Arabidopsis thaliana: one gene and its partners. The protein of the gene in region 2 interacts with the protein of the main gene of each other region in a pairwise test. Each region holds a gene or a part of one and is shown on either strand. Other genes may lie near its edges.

What was found.
Region 1: the proteins of TCP9 (region 2) and PYL6 interact in binary tests that used the Arabidopsis thaliana proteins (3 or more experiments, as listed by UniProt).
Region 3: the proteins of TCP9 (region 2) and STY2 interact in binary tests that used the Arabidopsis thaliana proteins (3 or more experiments, as listed by UniProt).

The regions. Positions count from the first base shown.
Region 1 is NC_003071.7:16,842,860-16,848,038, reverse strand, and holds PYL6 (PYR1-like 6), read left to right. Parts: upstream 1-1,844; 5' UTR 1,845-2,214; coding exon 2,215-2,862; 3' UTR 2,863-3,451; downstream 3,452-5,179. UniProt on the Arabidopsis thaliana protein: Receptor for abscisic acid (ABA) required for ABA-mediated responses such as stomatal closure and germination inhibition.
Region 2 is NC_003071.7:18,818,808-18,825,233, forward strand, and holds TCP9 (TCP family transcription factor), read right to left. Parts: upstream 3,083-6,426; 5' UTR 2,981-3,082; coding exon 1,910-2,980; 3' UTR 1,435-1,909; downstream 1-1,434. Other genes in the region: SSE1 (shrunken seed protein (SSE1)), read right to left, coding at 4,658-4,719, 4,820-4,881, 5,063-5,130, 5,205-5,769, 5,854-6,073, 6,364-6,421.
Region 3 is NC_003075.7:17,153,828-17,159,397, reverse strand, and holds STY2 (Lateral root primordium (LRP) protein-like protein), read left to right. Parts: upstream 1-1,752; 5' UTR 1,753-2,391; coding exon 2,392-2,956; intron 2,957-3,289; coding exon 3,290-3,693; 3' UTR 3,694-3,842; downstream 3,843-5,570.

The DNA.
Region 1 (5,179 bases), 2.0 Mb from region 2:
CATTCTGGTCTCCAAAATCGTTTTTCTTGCTCGAATCTTGAAGATCTTCTAAGCCTTTAGAAAAATGAAGAAATCAAGTTGGCAAACTGTTAATTAATTAAATCCAATGAATTGGTGGGTATTGCACCTCCACAAGTTCCCTTTGACAATGTGTCCTCTTCTCCGCAAGAATGAGATGCAACTATTTTGGACAATTTCTCCTTTTAATTACTTTTTGATCGATAATCTTCTCTTAATATCACGTTGTAATCTGATTCATTCAAATATCTATCGAAATTTAAGCTTATCTTTGATTTTTTCGATACTTATTTTTGAAATTTTAAGTGCATTTTGTTTATAATCATAGTTGGGGATTTAATAATTTTAGGTGGAATAATATTTTATGCATATTGGAGATTTATTTCTCGAGAAATATTCACAAACAAACAAACAACCGGCTTTTGCACAAAAATAATAATGACATGGAGTCGAGTTGTTTATACTAATGTTTGTCACTATCTCACCATTGGAATTTAAATCTTGGATATATAATACATGTTTTGACAAAAAAAAAAGTTGGCACAAATTATGTTGTTGTAACAAAATACGTCTGATGCATTGATTTGAGATTGACTCTTTGAACCCAAAAATGTATCACCGTAATATTAATACATTTTCCACATCAACTTGTAATCTATTTGTGTTCAGTAATATATTGGTGAGTGATTATGTCACCTAACCCGAAAGCTTATAAGATGAGCAATCTTTATATCGAGGATGGTGCAAAAAATAGCAAATTGTAACTTTTTGTCCTTCTTATTCTATAAAATGTCAGATATAATTAGTACTGCAAATTGCTCGCTTATTCGTATTAATCTTAACAACTAGGGCTACTTGGGAATATGTATAGTTGTTGGAAAAACTAATGCATTAGATAACCCTTTATTATTTTTCCCAATTGTGTTTTGTTATTATGCCCACCACTCAAATCCAAGAGTCCAATATATTCATATGATTTGAATATACGTTTGTGGAAGAAAACACACCCAAGAAATATTGTCCAATTCGTAAATTTCCCTGACTTTACGTTGGTTACTTTTAGCAAACTGCTTAGTTTGATTTTCTTCTAATTCGTCTTATTAATATTCTGTTCTTTTCTTTGTTGAAAAGGAATTTGATTAATACTTTTTTTAGTATCGTCGAAAGGCTCAAGTTGATTACAAGATGAGGAAAGATTATTATGATGGACCCATGACATGATATCTTCACCAACTTGGAACATTGAAAGTCCTATGGAGTTATTTTTGAAATTTTTACCTTAGTCAGAAGGTTCCAACAAAATTAAAAATCCACCAAAAACGCATCCAAGAATAGTACCAACTGAAAATAGATCGGCAATCACAAAGACAAAGGTCGGTCCTCCCAACCAATTTGTTTCAAGAATTTTTTCAAACCTATGCATAAATTAAGTATAGCTCTTAACCAATATATATAGCTTAACCAACTCGACACATAGTGATCATGTTCTTATAATCTTTAATAACGTTTTAGAGTTAGCTATATATATAGCCTCGAGACAGTAGAAGATTGAAATATCTATGCAAAACCTCAAAGATAATGTTCAATGTTTTTATATTCTGAATATTGATATAATCGGTGAGATAGAGATGAGTTCAGAATTTTTTTCTCGGTATCTTAAATGATATTGATTTCATTTTCTCAACTTTCATTCAAGAGTGTTTTTGGTTAAAACATAAAAACGTCCATTCTAATTATAGTAATGCTTGTGTGGTTACGACAACATGCTCATTCATTGTAATAAACTGGTGAAATATATAGCACCATTGACAAATAGACAGCCTCAGTAACAAAGCAAGGAAAAACAAAATTAAAATTTAATAACCGGTTATATTAAATATCGAGAACCAGTCCGTAGAATTTCATGGGAAACCGGGCCGGTCCTTGATATAAAGAAAGAGAGAGACGTTTCTTAACTGAAGCAGTACACAAACTCCAAACAAATCCCAAGTGGACAACCGAAGAACCCACACAAACTAACTCTCTTTCCTAATCCACATACTTGCATTTTTATATATAAACACTCTGTCCTTATATAGTTCTGTATATTACATGTAAATATCTCTCATTAATACAACCTCACGAAGAAAACCATTTGTTTTCTTAGAGAGAGCCAAGAATATTAAAAGAGATATAGAGAAAAGATTTGCTTTAATAATGCCAACGTCGATACAGTTTCAGAGATCCTCCACCGCCGCAGAAGCAGCCAACGCCACCGTAAGAAACTATCCCCACCACCATCAGAAACAGGTTCAAAAAGTGAGCCTCACGCGCGGGATGGCTGATGTGCCGGAGCACGTGGAGCTTTCCCACACGCACGTGGTTGGTCCTTCTCAGTGCTTCTCCGTCGTGGTACAAGACGTGGAGGCTCCGGTTTCCACAGTCTGGTCGATCCTAAGCCGCTTCGAACACCCTCAAGCGTACAAACACTTCGTGAAAAGCTGCCACGTGGTTATCGGAGACGGTCGAGAGGTTGGGTCGGTGAGAGAGGTCAGAGTCGTCTCTGGTCTCCCCGCGGCGTTTAGCTTAGAGCGGCTTGAGATCATGGACGATGATCGCCACGTCATCAGTTTCAGCGTCGTTGGTGGGGACCACAGACTCATGAACTACAAGTCGGTGACGACGGTGCATGAGTCGGAGGAGGACTCCGACGGCAAGAAGAGGACACGTGTCGTTGAGTCATACGTCGTTGACGTACCGGCGGGTAACGATAAGGAAGAGACTTGTAGCTTTGCTGATACTATAGTACGGTGCAACTTGCAATCGCTGGCTAAACTCGCCGAGAACACTTCTAAATTCTCGTAATTACATTTTTTCAATCTTTTTATTTTTATTTTATTTTCTATATTTCTCTCTTTCAAAATTTATCTTTTATTTTTGGGATTCTCGAGGTGGTTTTGGATTTTAAGATTTAAGTATTTAACTATCGTCGGGGATTTTTCGAAACTAAAACAAAAAACAAGAATTATATCAAACAAGATGGTTTTGGTTTTTCGAAGTTAGGGTTTTTAGGGTCTGTTAAATGTATGTCTCAACGATACTTTGGTTTTACCCTTAAAACCATTTCTTCTTGTACAGCTCTCGTAGCTTTATTATATAAACATTGATTGTTTAGTTATTTTCATAATCTTCTTCTTGCGCCGTATTTTACATATTTATTATTTGTCTTTTAATTTAGTTAATCATGAAACAATATAGACTATATAGTGATTCAGCTATAATGCATGGGGTATATTGTTACGATATTTCCGATATTATTATGTCTAATTTCATTAATTTTGATAACCTACATAATAATGTATTACACAAACAATTTGATTAATATAATCATTGGCATATCTACTATATATGAAGAGATCTGAACAATTGTGGGCAATCAGAAAACCCATACATGTGCTGATTGAGATGATTCGTTTTCCTTTATGTTAAGAGAAGAACAAAGTAAAACTATACATCATTTGAATTTTATTGAAATGTATAAACAGTAGAATACTACTTGGTGTTTTAAATGAATTTGCTCACCAGCTATATAATCAAAGCGTTCAATCCTAAAAGCAAAGATGGAATAATATCAATTAGTGATAATTAAACTTGAACCAAGGCGTAATGCATGTATTGAGTTATGTGATATAATCTTAAGAATTTTCTTTATGGCATATATAATGCTAGGCCAAAATAAATGGTGTCAGGTAATACAGCATTATATCTTTAATTCCCTAATTTGGAAACGTAAAATTTTCAAATTATTTGTCATTTCATCAACAAACTTTACATAAATACGTAAATGTTTTGTTTTTACTCACCAAAAAAATAAATCAAAATTATTTACATACCAAAATGATAAAATTTCTTAGTTCCTTTTATAGTTTTGGGATGCGTGAACCGTTTCAATAATTCAAATGTCAAAATTATTACTTTTTCGGATTTCCTTGTCCTATATATTAGTTCATGAATAAAAATGTACATTTGAAAAATCAAATAACTTTATCTAGTTATATAAATATAAAGAATCCAATGAACAAGATGAAAAGACATTCAAAGTTTGCAAAAGCAAAATGTGTTTAGTTACTTTATAATTAAGTAGTAAGATTTCGAGACTTGTGAACCAAATTCAAAATTGAATACATATATAGACATTCATGTATATGATCGTACGTAAAATGCAAGTTGGGGTGTAATAAAATCCAACTTGTTATAGAAAAAAAACAAAGCATGCAAGTTGCAAAGGAAAAAAAAAAAAGTCGCTACTATTCTTTGACACCTTTAAAAAATATTCCATAAATAAAAAAAAGGTTAAAGAAAAATCAAATTGATTACATAAATGATTATTAATTTATTATCATAATGAGTACGAAATATATATGTAAACATTGTCGTGGAAGGAAGGAATTGCAAGTTGATATGCAAGTTGGCAAGGAGGCTATTAATGTTTTCCCTCTTTTGGTCGTTTGTATAATGACATTTAAACCCACCCACCTTTCTTATTTTCTTTTCTGTCTTCCTATTTCTGATCACTATTATTATATTACTTATATTTTATTTCACATTTTTTTTAATTTTATAAACCCATAAGAAATTTTTTTCCCTTTTATTTACATATGAAAACATATGTATTCCCGTGTCAAAAAAATGAAAATTCTGACCAATCCAGAGAGATACGATTTATGGGGTTTGTATATTCCAATGTGGCATGTTGCATATAAACTACTACTATTTAACTAGTTTCTTAATAATTCAAATCCAAATAAACATGCATAAAAGATTGTGATAACGTACATAGCTGTGATATAATATGCATTACTTTTAAAAAGCAACGGAGATAGTTCGTATTTTCATATAGTCTTTAGCTGGGCTATCTAACACTTTAACTAATTAGAATAAGATATAAAGTTTGCTATAAAATGTAAATAGATGATTTATCCAATATATACATATGAGTGTGTCTGAAAAAGGCAAACCAAATTCAATGTAACGTGAAGAACACCGCCTCCTTCCTTAAAGTTTATTGGGGATAGATATTTTCGTCCATGATTTTAACTTCTACGATTTTAGGTTTGGAAGCATTTCGGTGTGAGTGGTGTGTAATGTTGAAAACATCAACGCGGATAAAAATCTTCTATAT
Region 2 (6,426 bases):
TTCCATTTTTTAGTTCGGAACATGGATGTTGTTCTTGTGGAGGTATCCAGATTTTCTAAAATATAGATAACATCCAGAGGTTAATAATCCAGATATTTGAAAACAGTAAATCGTTGTCCACCCCTTCATTGACATCTTGGTCGACATACCAATAGAATAAAGCAGATGTCGAAATCGTTGACTTGAAACGTGTGTCAAAAGATAATACGCCAAGTCTTTTGCGTTATTTCATTGTAAATAGGATACAATTATCGGCAAGTAAAAAAAGGAGAAGAATTATATATATTTAGTAGAATTTTATTAGTGACATAATAGATAACGATTTGGTTTCTTGAGCCTTTAACAACTTACTTTGAAATCATTGACAAATATTACTTCACATAACTTGAAAAAAGAACGAACAAGAAAGAAAAGAATAAGTACATAAGAACCCAAGAACATAAGAGAGGATTTCGACAAGGACGAAGCAAAATTCTAAATGATAAAAACAATTGAATACAAACAATTAAATTAAGGCTAAGAAACAAAAACAAAAACGGTGTTCTTCTGCAACATGAATCGTAGCAATTGTTATGTAAGCAATTTTGTGTTGTTCGCAAAATAATGGGCCTTAGTCCTAAATGTTATGTAAGCCCATACAACTTTTTCCCTTTTTTGGGCTTAATCAAGAAATTAAAAAAGCATTGGGCTGGTTTCCCGCTGTTTGATTTAAAACCTTTTTGTTTTTTAAGAAAAATAAAGGAACATTTATAAATTTATAGGCCAACTATATATAAAAATTAATGAGGTCCACTGAAATAAAAGAAGAGAACGACAAGTCATTTCTCTAAGTCCACGAGGAATCCTATAGCCAACACTTCTGGACCTTTTTTCCCCATCCACGGCCACCAAGTTGGTTTAGGCCTCCAATAATACATTTTACCTTGTGTTTAACCTTTTAAAGTTTTACTTCCTACATATCTTAAAAAAATATATAATCAACGGTGTGAAACGGAGAACCATGGTTTAACTTTAACCAACCACACTTGAATTATAAATCAAACATAAACAAAGTTATCTTATAGTAAATCCTGTCTGGCGTTGAGACCGTAGACAAGAAGAAAATATCTACTACTACTAGTACTAATTAAACAACGAACGAAATAGAATCAACGGTTAGGACAAGACGATGGAATTGAACGGTAAAGATTAGATAGACACAAGTATGACCCACGCCAGGCTGTTCCTTTATTTCCTTAGCGTTAAACTGGTGGTGCTGACCCAACTAGGCGTCCCTTGAGTGGGAAGCTTTCAGGCCCCACGAAACAACGCCGTATTAGTGGTACAATCAAGCTTACTAGGCCCCGCCAATAACACGGACGAGACTTTTTTCGCAAAAAGCTTTTGTAACACTTGTAAGAAAATGGAATCATTTGAAAAGTAATGCTACAACAATTTTAGGAAAACAACATTAGTATTTTCATTTTAGATAGAAATATTTATTTTGTTACAGATTTTAATAAAATCAAAACATCAATATCACAATTGTTGTTGAGTGGACCATGACTTAGAGAGGGCTTCAATAAATCTTATTTTGTAAAATTACAAAGACCAAAAAAGTCAAGACAAAGTGGTGAGCCCCCACCAAAAAAACGAAACGTTTCGAATTATGCTTAAGCTTAAGCTGGTCCTACTCATACGGACCACGTAGCTCTAACCATTTGGGGACCACACCCAACCTGGCTGCCTCGGAAGCTATGCGTAAGGTGGGAGCCGTGTGGCCCCTCTCCTCCTCCCTCCACTCTCTTTTTGGTGCGTGTTGACCCACTTCTGCCTAAAATCGAGGCCCACTTCTTAACACGTGCACTTCTTCATGTGCACACGTGCTTTTTTTCCGATCACTAATACGCCGCCGTTTCCTTTCTTTTCTTCAGTGGTTCGATGACCGTGCTGTTGTGGTGCTCATGAACTGGTGAAGCTCTTGTTTCTCGTATATCTCTAGGGAGAAGTCTCTCAGCGTGTGCGTCGTTGTTGTTGCAATTGACGATGAACTACCGGTTGTTACGCCTGAGCTTGAGCTCGGAGCCATAACCGACGTCGCTCTTGATAAATTCGAACCGCTAACGTCTGAAACGGATACAAAGCCGCTGCTTGGAACAACTTGTAAAGGAGGTGGTCTAGCCATCGTGGAAGCCTGTTGAACAGCGGCGACGTAAGACGACGGCGAAGCAGCGGCGGCGGGAAAAGCTAATAACTGAGGCTGATTCGACGGACCAGCGATTTGTGGAATCAAGAAGAAAGCTCCGACCGTCGGAATCATTGCGTTTGATGGAATAGCCCACATCGGATACATTCCTTGCGGCAGAAGTTGCTGAGCCACAGTGGATGATGCCAGAGCTTGCGGAGGTTGGATCGTTGTCGTCGTGGCAATTGGAGCTAAACCGGAGGAAGCTGAAACGGCGTCGCTTATGTCTATATACTCACTGTTAGAAGGTCGTTTACGTTTCTTCTTCATCAGATTTTCACCCATATCAGAATCAGCGTTCGTCGTCGTCGGGATTTTTAAGGTTCCGTTAACCGACATGGCGATGGCGGGAACCGTTCCCGTACCCGTGGCGGCTATAATCGCCGGCTCAGCGTTCTCCAACAACCACCGAATCGTTTCGCCGTCGGATTTGTGACCTAACTCTCGAGTTAATTGAAAAATCCTAGCCGCACACGTGGCAGGCATCCGTATCCTTCTCCCTCTTCCTTCAACCTTCGTGTGACGGTCTTTAGTCGAAGCTCTCTTCAATGGTGGTCCTGTCGAAGACGGTGGAGCTAAAGACATTGAAAACGACGGCATCACCGGCTCCGCCTTGGGCTCGAGACTCACTGTGGGATTTACTTGGAAAGGTCTTGAAGTTTCGACGTTTCTGACGCCGTTGATGATGGTTAGATCAACGGCTCTTAGAGTTTGATCTTTGCCTGCAACTTCTTCAAGCTTCTGAATTGTCGCCATTAAAATATAGCTGAGAGAAAACGGACGGTGGAGATGACGACGAGAGTTGTTAAAAGCGGATACAATGGGAAAGAATCGTTTTAACGGCGTTACACGTCCAAGGAGATTACTAAATGTGACTCGTCAGGATATATATATAGGAGCAGGAAAACAAGTGAGAATAGTATTCAACGCTTTTTGATGCGGGAAAAATCAACGGTCCTGATGTGTTCGATGAGCTTTAAAGAACCATTCCGATTGTACCACGTGAACAAATCACTTTCCATTGCTCTATCTTCTATCAGTATTATTATGGGACCATCTGTACAATGGGGTCCAGTAAACTTTATTTCTCTTTTCACAAAATGTTTTTCTTTTATTGTTTAGTAATATACTTGTTTTTTAACCTAAGAAAAGCTTCAAAATCCAAAATCAGAAACTCATTCTGGTTAGTACTTACTAGTTACTAGTACACTCCCAAATGAAATACCTAGCTTTGTACAAAAATTTCCATCGCTGATCAAATTTAACTTTTCTATGGTTGGAAAGATTTTCAATAATTTTTATTGGTTAGGCAAAAAAAGATTTACTTTAATTTTATGGAAAAAGCTGTAAGCCCATACTTGGGGTTGGACCCCATTAATGTAGGTCACAAGGCTGCGCCACCAAAAAGCTAATTAGTGTCTATGGAATAATCCTCTTTCCAGGATTCCAAAATCCTCCTATCGTCCGTCCTTTGATTAAACCGGTCACATACATATACGCATACTTATGTACTTGTGTACTTGTACAATCCGGATATTAAACATACAAACCGAACTAGAAATCAGATCAAAGTAATCGAAATGATTGTAAGTTCGACGGTAACTAGATGTAACCGATTCAAACTTATTTTGATTCGTTGGTACTTGTTTCGGGTTTGAACCACTAGCTATGCTACTTGTACATACGACCGACCAGAAAGAGGGACCGTAAGCACCAGAAAAGAAAGGCTACAAAACGAAAATGTGAATGTGGGCCTGAGCTGGACCCTACTCTCTTCAGTTCCACACATTGTTGAGGGCTAGGCCCAACTATTCGACCCCACCATTCCCTACCCACTCAAAAATCAAAATATTGGCGATAACGTGGCCTTGAGATTAACAAACAAACGGATCCGGGATTAGAATTAAACACCAAATTATAAACCGGTCAAACCGGTAGTAACCTTTTAGGCTTAAAAGTTAAACCAAGTGGGTTCCACCTTTTCCGATTACAGATTCGGGTCCACCACAGAGGGATAATGTTGTAATTTTCGCAGCCACCAACTTTTGCCTACCATCAGCATACCATTCATTACGCCAGCATCAATAATTTGGGCTGATTGGTAAATTTGAGGTTTTGGATTCCGATGTTTTTACTTTTCACTAACCACACAATTTCACATAAATAAGTGTAGTATTTCTTACAAACCATTTAATCTTTAATGATGCTTGTTTTATTCGTATCGGTCCATTTCTTTAGACATAGAGAAGCTTATCTCTTCAGATACATCTGTCTATGGTTATGTTCTCTACCTGTTGCAATAAACACAATTTCTAACAAAAGCCTGAAACCATTCCCTAAGAAATCTGTAGGAGCCTTTGATGATCTGAAAAAGCATTCCAACAATGGCAATATTCTTCCGTTGCATATAAACCATAAGTAAAACGCTTAACCTCACGATCCCGATATGTAAGTGTACCGTGACTGAGCTCCCTCCAAAAGCTCCACAATTTTCTCTGCAATTTCCATGAGAGAACCAAAATAAGGTCAGTAGATGGCAAGTAGACAAGACAATCAGTGATCTCGTGAATGAAATGAAAGCTTTAAAAAGTAAACCTGTGAGGAATCCGATCAATGGAATTAGTTCCAGCTTCTTTTGAGAGCTTTCCAGCTTCTGCCTGCAATTGCAAGACAAGCATATTTGATTTATTAGTAACCCGCGATAGCTTAAGCTTTAAGCCTAAAACCCAGGGATACCAAATCTAATATTAACATAAGAGCCAAGAGGAAATGAACCACTTCGGTTTCAATTTTTCCCATTTCAGAAAATGCCATAATTGAAACCATAAGAACACTCACCTTGTGTACTTGGTGAAGAATGGATCTCTCATGAGGTACAATGCCCATATCAGTTTTCGTCTCCTCAGCTGAAGAAGTAACAAGAATATGAGTTAAATCGGTTCAACATTACTGTTGTATTGAGGTCCAAGAGATTTCTAACCTCATCCTTTTCAGGTCCTGAGAAATGGACTTGCTTGCTCTTCTCTCCCCACCACTTCGAATTTGCAAGAAGACCCATCCCCAGTGTGTCCACAGAAAGCGATATAGCCCAAGGAATCCAAGATCGGACTCCATATTTTCTGATGAAAAGAACGTAAATGAGCGGTCTCGTTATGTAAAGAACCTCACCAATCGCAAACAACGCTCCATTAACACCCTTCTCAGTAAGTAGCTCGGACATCGTTCTTCGCCTCTCCTTGATCATTGGAGGCTCTATAACTGCTTGCTGATGTTGAATTCTTCGAGACCAACCGGGGGTAGAAGATGTTGTTGTTCTTGCATTCTGACCAAATGAACTTAAAGCAGACATCGCCCGTCCTTCCAAGTTCCATGGATTATGATGATTTTGGTTTCCAAGACCATGAGGCCCGAGATTTCTACCCGAATTACCAGCTCTATTTTGCGACTCGGATTGGTTAGAATCTTTCTCCTCATTAGGTGTTTCCCCTCCTTGAAGAAGCATCTTATACCCACTATTCCGGAACAAGGCTAACCTAATGACAGCCCTGAAAATTCAAAGTTTTCAAGATATCAAAATGCCAACTAAGTAGGTTGTGTAGATCCAAGTGATCAGAAGAAAGCAAGCTTACTTCATAGCTTCAGTGAGAATAATGTAGTTCCATTTTTTGTCTCCATAGAAGTGTTCAGCTGCCACTTCCACAACAGTTTCCAAATCCTTGAGGATGGCGATGAGTAGTGGATAAGAAAGGGATGGATCATTCCCGGAAGATCCAACATGGCCACGAGGTGTTGGAGCATTTTCAATTATGTGTTCATTTATCGTTGAGAATATGCCCAAAAAAGCCGTTACTACAAAGAAGATTACCAAAAAACTTCAATCACACTTCCATGAACACAAAACTGACAAAAGAAGAAAGAAAGAAACATTCTTTGGAACTTGAAGGTTCTAATGTTAAAGACTTAGGACACGAAACATGTGAGGAGGTACAAGTGAAGTATGTAATTTGAGAAGAACCGATAAAACTGAGTATAGGACAGTGTTCATTATTCAGACAAGAGACTTTAGGAGCTAACAGGGATAAAGGAAACAGTTATTCTAAGATTGAAAGCAGTAAAATGTTACCAAAGTATCACAAAACCTGCTTCTGGTCCAATCTCTGAAGCAGAAAACTTCTCAGGAAGCAGCCATGTCAATCCCTGCA
Region 3 (5,570 bases), on a different chromosome or scaffold from region 2:
GCAAACACGAACACACACAGGGCTCGAGAGACCTCTCGACATGTTTAAGGGACAGACAGCGAGCGACACTGAACGTCTTTTTCTCGGGCCTCTCCCACTTATCATTCCCTTCCCTGTCTCTTTTTTTTTTGTTTTTCTTATTTGTATAATAATCATTAGATTTTACAATTTTAAATAGCTTTTTCTTTCCAAAACCTTTGGACTGGACTAACCTGGATCGGTCCGATCTTGATAACGCCGGTTTTATAAAAATCTTAATATTTTTTAGGGTTTAAACTTAATTTGTACGATCATGGATGGATCATCATGTGGTACGAGTCCACTATTAATTCTTCTAAACACCTAAACAAAAACGATATACTTACATGATTGTTTCTGGTTGGATTCGTAGGTGGCATTGTGACTACACTCGTTCATCAATATGGGCCGATTTAAAAATGACTAGATTTTTTTTTTCTGGATCTTGAAAATCCAGACTAATCCAACAGGTTTTTGGTCTACCACAACATTTCAAACAAAGACTATTTATTAGAAACCATAAACCCGGAAAAACTACGAATACCAAATATTATTACAATAGTTTGCTTCGTCGTTTACGTGGAAATTTATATAATTCACAGTAAAAAGAAAGGAATACAAAAAAGTACACGTAGGTGGCGCAGTGTTCCCTTGTATAGCCACATAGAGTCCAAAGAGTAACATGCTTTTTTTTTTCATCTTTCCTTAGTTTTTTTTTTGTAAATATTTCTTTAATTATTCAAATCACTCGATAACGATATAAATATGATCATTTGCTACAATCAATAAAAAGAGAGCCTCTTTTTCACTGCCCCGAATCTCTCTGTTTTCATAACTACTCCATGGTGAATGATTTGATACACTATTGACTATAACTCTAATTCTTAATGATTTTATACACATGGATTTAAGTTATGATTTATAGAGGGTAACAAGCAGAATATTTGAATGTTTTTATTGCGGATATTTAAATATATAACTTACCGGAAAAAGTGGCAGTCTAAATTAGAAGAGCTTGTTAATTATGCATGTAAAATTAAATTTAAATATGGTTTAGTCATCCCTTTGTGGACACTATTGACGTTTTTCCAAAAATTTTCTTTTCACTTGTAAGTTTTTTTATTTTAAGAATGGCTTGTTTTTTTTAACTATTTTTAAAACAATCTATTGTCTACTCAAATAGCATAAGCATCGATAAATATATATATATTTACATGTATGATAATGATATATGGAATATTTTATGAAGGAAAAAAAGAGTTGTTCTGATTGATCACAAGATTACTTACCTCAGAAAAAATCTAAATATGGCTTTACTTAATTAGGGTAAATGTTTGAATACGTAACATTAGACTTTCGAAACATATTAACCAAACAAATCGTTAAGAACGCTCTAATAAATTTGATCAAGATATAACCCTGAGGCAGCTAGATGAGCAATTACTATTGTTTGAGATTAAACAAAAAAAAGCTTAAGGACAAAGAAAAAGAAAAAAAGAAGAATTTAATTTTCTAATCGCGTAGGATTTCAAATTAACCTAAATTAAATACGGTTCATTAATACGTACGGACACATGAGCTAGCTTTTTTTTTTTGATAACCACGAAAAAAATATGTATGCTAACTTTCAAAGAAAAGAATTGAATTCATCCGTTTTAAGATAAAACAAGCTTAAGCACATTCGCCACTTGGCAAACTCTGGTCCATGGGATGAGAACAAGAAAGCTAGGACCGGTGGATCATTCCCCGTGGGTGTGAAACTCTGAGTCGGTAGAGAGAGAAAGAAGAGATAGCAGAGAGAGAAAGTCTTTGTTTAATCCTTTTTTTACTTTCATACGGACAGAACTAGAAGCGTTTTGTTCAGACAAAGCCGAAGTGAGAAGAGGAAAGAAAAGCTTTTCACTTTGGGTTTCATAGAATCTGCAAAAACCAAATCAGAGTAGTGGAGAGAGAGAGAGACTTAAATTCTAGGGATGAGCAGAGCAGAGGAGAGAGAAATCTAAAAACGCCCATGGCGGCGTTGCAGAAATTTATAGAGAAAAATAAAGATTCATAAATAAGTAGACAGCTTAAATTCTTCTTTCTTTCTTCTCTTCTGTTTCTTTTTCTTCTTCTTACTTTCTCTCACTTCAACTACTCACTACCAAGAAACACACTTTGTTCCAAGAGAGAGAGAGAAAGAGAGATCTTGTAGAACATTCGAATTTAGATTCGGAGAGCAGCAACAACACCCACAAGCTAAGGGAGTATAAGGCTGAATTTGAGTGAGAAGAAGAAGGAGAAAAAAGGATAAGGATTTCATGGTAATTAGGGTTTCTGAATTATGGATATAGTTGGGTCAAGATTAGGGTTTGAAGTTTTAGGTCTTAAAAAATGGCTGGGATATTCTCATTAGGAGGTAACAACAACAACAACGGAGACGAAGAAGAAGAAAATCAACAACAACAAAAGACAAATTGGGTTTGGTATAGATCAAACGCAAACACCAATAATATCAACCCAAGCTCGAGCCAACAAGTATGGCAGATTCCACCAGAGCAGATGCTCATGCATCATCATTCACATCCACAACAACAAAGCTTAGATCTTTATCCAGGTCATCAGATCGACGTCTCTGATTTAGCCACTTCATCAAGATCCATCACCATTAGCTGTCGGGACTGTGGGAACCAAGCCAAGAAAGACTGCACTCATATGCGTTGCAGGACTTGCTGTAAAAGCCGTGGATTCGATTGTTCCACTCACGTCAGGAGCACGTGGATCCCCGTTGCGAGGCGCCGCGAGAGACAACAGCAGCTTCATATGTCCACATCTGGAGGTGGCGGCGGAAGCGGTAGTGGCGGTGCTGGAGGAGGCGGTTCGAGTATCCCAAAACGCCATAGGGACCCTACTCTTCCAGGAACATCCTCCTCTTCTCGCTTGCCATCCCACTCAGCAGGTTTTTTTTTTTTATGTCTTTATAAACAATTTGATATCCAGACAACTTCATATATTCGAACCATATGTTTTTGTTAGAAGAAACACGAATTTTTCAACACAAAAATATATGTGAGTTTAATTTTCCTTTCACTACTTGCACAAATTTTGTTTACTTTAAAAATACAACATTCTATATTTATTTTTAATCAAATTTCAGTGTGAAAAAATGTTTGATAAAAAACATTTAAATGTTGTGTTCTGTTTTGAAGTGAAACATAACATTAAAACATAAACGTAATCTTGTGTTTATGGACGTTGATTAATGTGTATAATTGTGTATATATGTTTTTAGGGTTAGAAATGGGGGAGGCAAGTTTTCCGGGGGAAGTGAGCTCAGATGCGCTTTTTCGGTGTGTTAAAATGAGTGGCGTAGATGATGGAGGAGATGGTCAGTACGCTTATCAAACGACGGTCAATATTGGAGGTCATCTCTTCAAAGGAATTCTGTATGACCAAGGCCCTGAAAGCAGCTACATGAGTGGCGGTAGTGGCGGAAGCGATCATCAGAGCTCATCCGCAGGAGGCGGAGGAGGAGGACATCCGTTTAATCCTCCAGTTGTGACCGACGGTGGCGGAGGAGTATCATCGGCCATGTTTGTAGATCCAAATTCTGGTGGTTACTATTCAAGTAACATGACGACTAGTGTGTTCATGCCACCAGGTACGCAATTCTATCAAAATCCACCAAGATCTTGATTAAATCAAGAACTTGACTTTTTATTTTTGTTATATAGTGATTCTATATATGTAATGTGTCTTTTGTTTTGTTGCTCTGGTCAATCATATGTAATACTTAGACGATTTAAACATTTGTATGTCTGTTTGTTGTCATGTATAATGTATGTGTTAATTTAATATTTAAATTGTACGGTAATGAATCTTTATTATAAATTTTAGTATTTGTGGGTTTTATATAAACAAGTAAGTGTTTTTGGTTCTCGATACGTTTTTTTTCCATGTTTATGCCGATGTTGCCGGTTGCTTCTCCCATTGGATAAACTCAAGAAATTCTACGTTATAATAATAGGTAAACTATAATATTATCATAAGGTCTAGTGAAGCCTACATGATTTGATACTCAGAACAATATCTTCATATAGCATCAACATTTTATATTGTTACTGTAAAGTTAATCTATATAGATTTGAAGGTAAATTGATTAGCGTGAATTAAATAGTGACAACGACAGGAAAGCAAATGAGGGCAAAGTTGTTAAAAATATAAGTTACGAACTTACGATTATAGTATTGGTCCTATTGTTACACTCGTAGTGTTCTACTTCACAATGAATTGGTGTCTGAAGAATAAATGACGAATAAATATATGAAGCAACTCGTGGATTAATAATAGAATTCGTACGTTACTGCATCACGTGCCTATGGAAGAAAAAAACAATTAGTTTTAGAGCTTACTGTTATGTAAAATTAATTATTCGTAAGATTTACTCAAAAAATCTCCCAATAAAACCTTTCCTAGAGTTAATAAATGTTGATCATCTAGATAGATATGATCGTAGAACCTAATTAATTAGTATGTTTTCTCACGCAAGACCATCTAGATCATCATGGTTTTCTAATCCAATATTTTTGTTTGTTTTTGTTATGAGTAATCCAAGAAGACTTATCAAGTGTAAACTAAAAAGGTGCTCACTCAAAGGCTTGGAAAAAGTTTATCAGATTGATAGTACTTTTACTTACCTTATAAATATTATGGTGAATCGCATATATATGTAGGAAAACATTAAACACTAATCTTCTTTGTCACACCAGTTTAACGCCATTAATCTATGTGTGCAATTAATACCAAAGATTAGCATTTTGATAAATTTATCAGATAGTAATCATATTTCCTAGAGCCTAAATCGGTCGCAGTATGCGCATTAATATCAATTGATTATAAATGACTCACTCATAAAATATGTAAGCTTTTCTCGCTAATCTGCTTGCGCACATGTTCTCCACCCGGAATTTGGCAACCATAACAATGTGTAATTAGCTTACTTAATCCTAATTTCCGGGCAATTATACACTACTATGTAATATTATCCATATATGACTCGTTCACTTTGGTAAACCAAAAAATATTCAAGAAGGGGAAACAAAGAAACGATTAGATCACCTGAAGTTCACGTAGTTTAGCCTCTGGAACGTGCCTTGAATTGCAAGTCAAACATCCTCCTTTTTTTCAACTCTCCAAGGGTGAAGGACACAACTAAAAGAAATATGGTTTCTGGTTGGAATTGAGTTCAAGCAGGATACATAAACAAAGAGAAAGAGAGAGAGGGGGAGAGATGTAAAGATGAAATTAATAATGAGGAATGTTGCAGAGATTGGAGATAAAGAGGGGCAAAGTAAGGACGACGTACCCAAAAAACAACTAAATAAATAGATATAGGAAGAAAAAAAAAGAGAAGCTAGCTAGGGTTTTTGATAGAGCTTTAGTTAGGGTGGGGATGAAAGAAACTGGCTCAGTGATGCAGTAACCTATTATTGTGGTGTGTACCCATACTTTCAATCAGCTTTTCTTTTCTTTTTTTCTTTGGACGACAAGACACGCATACGTACACCTTTTAT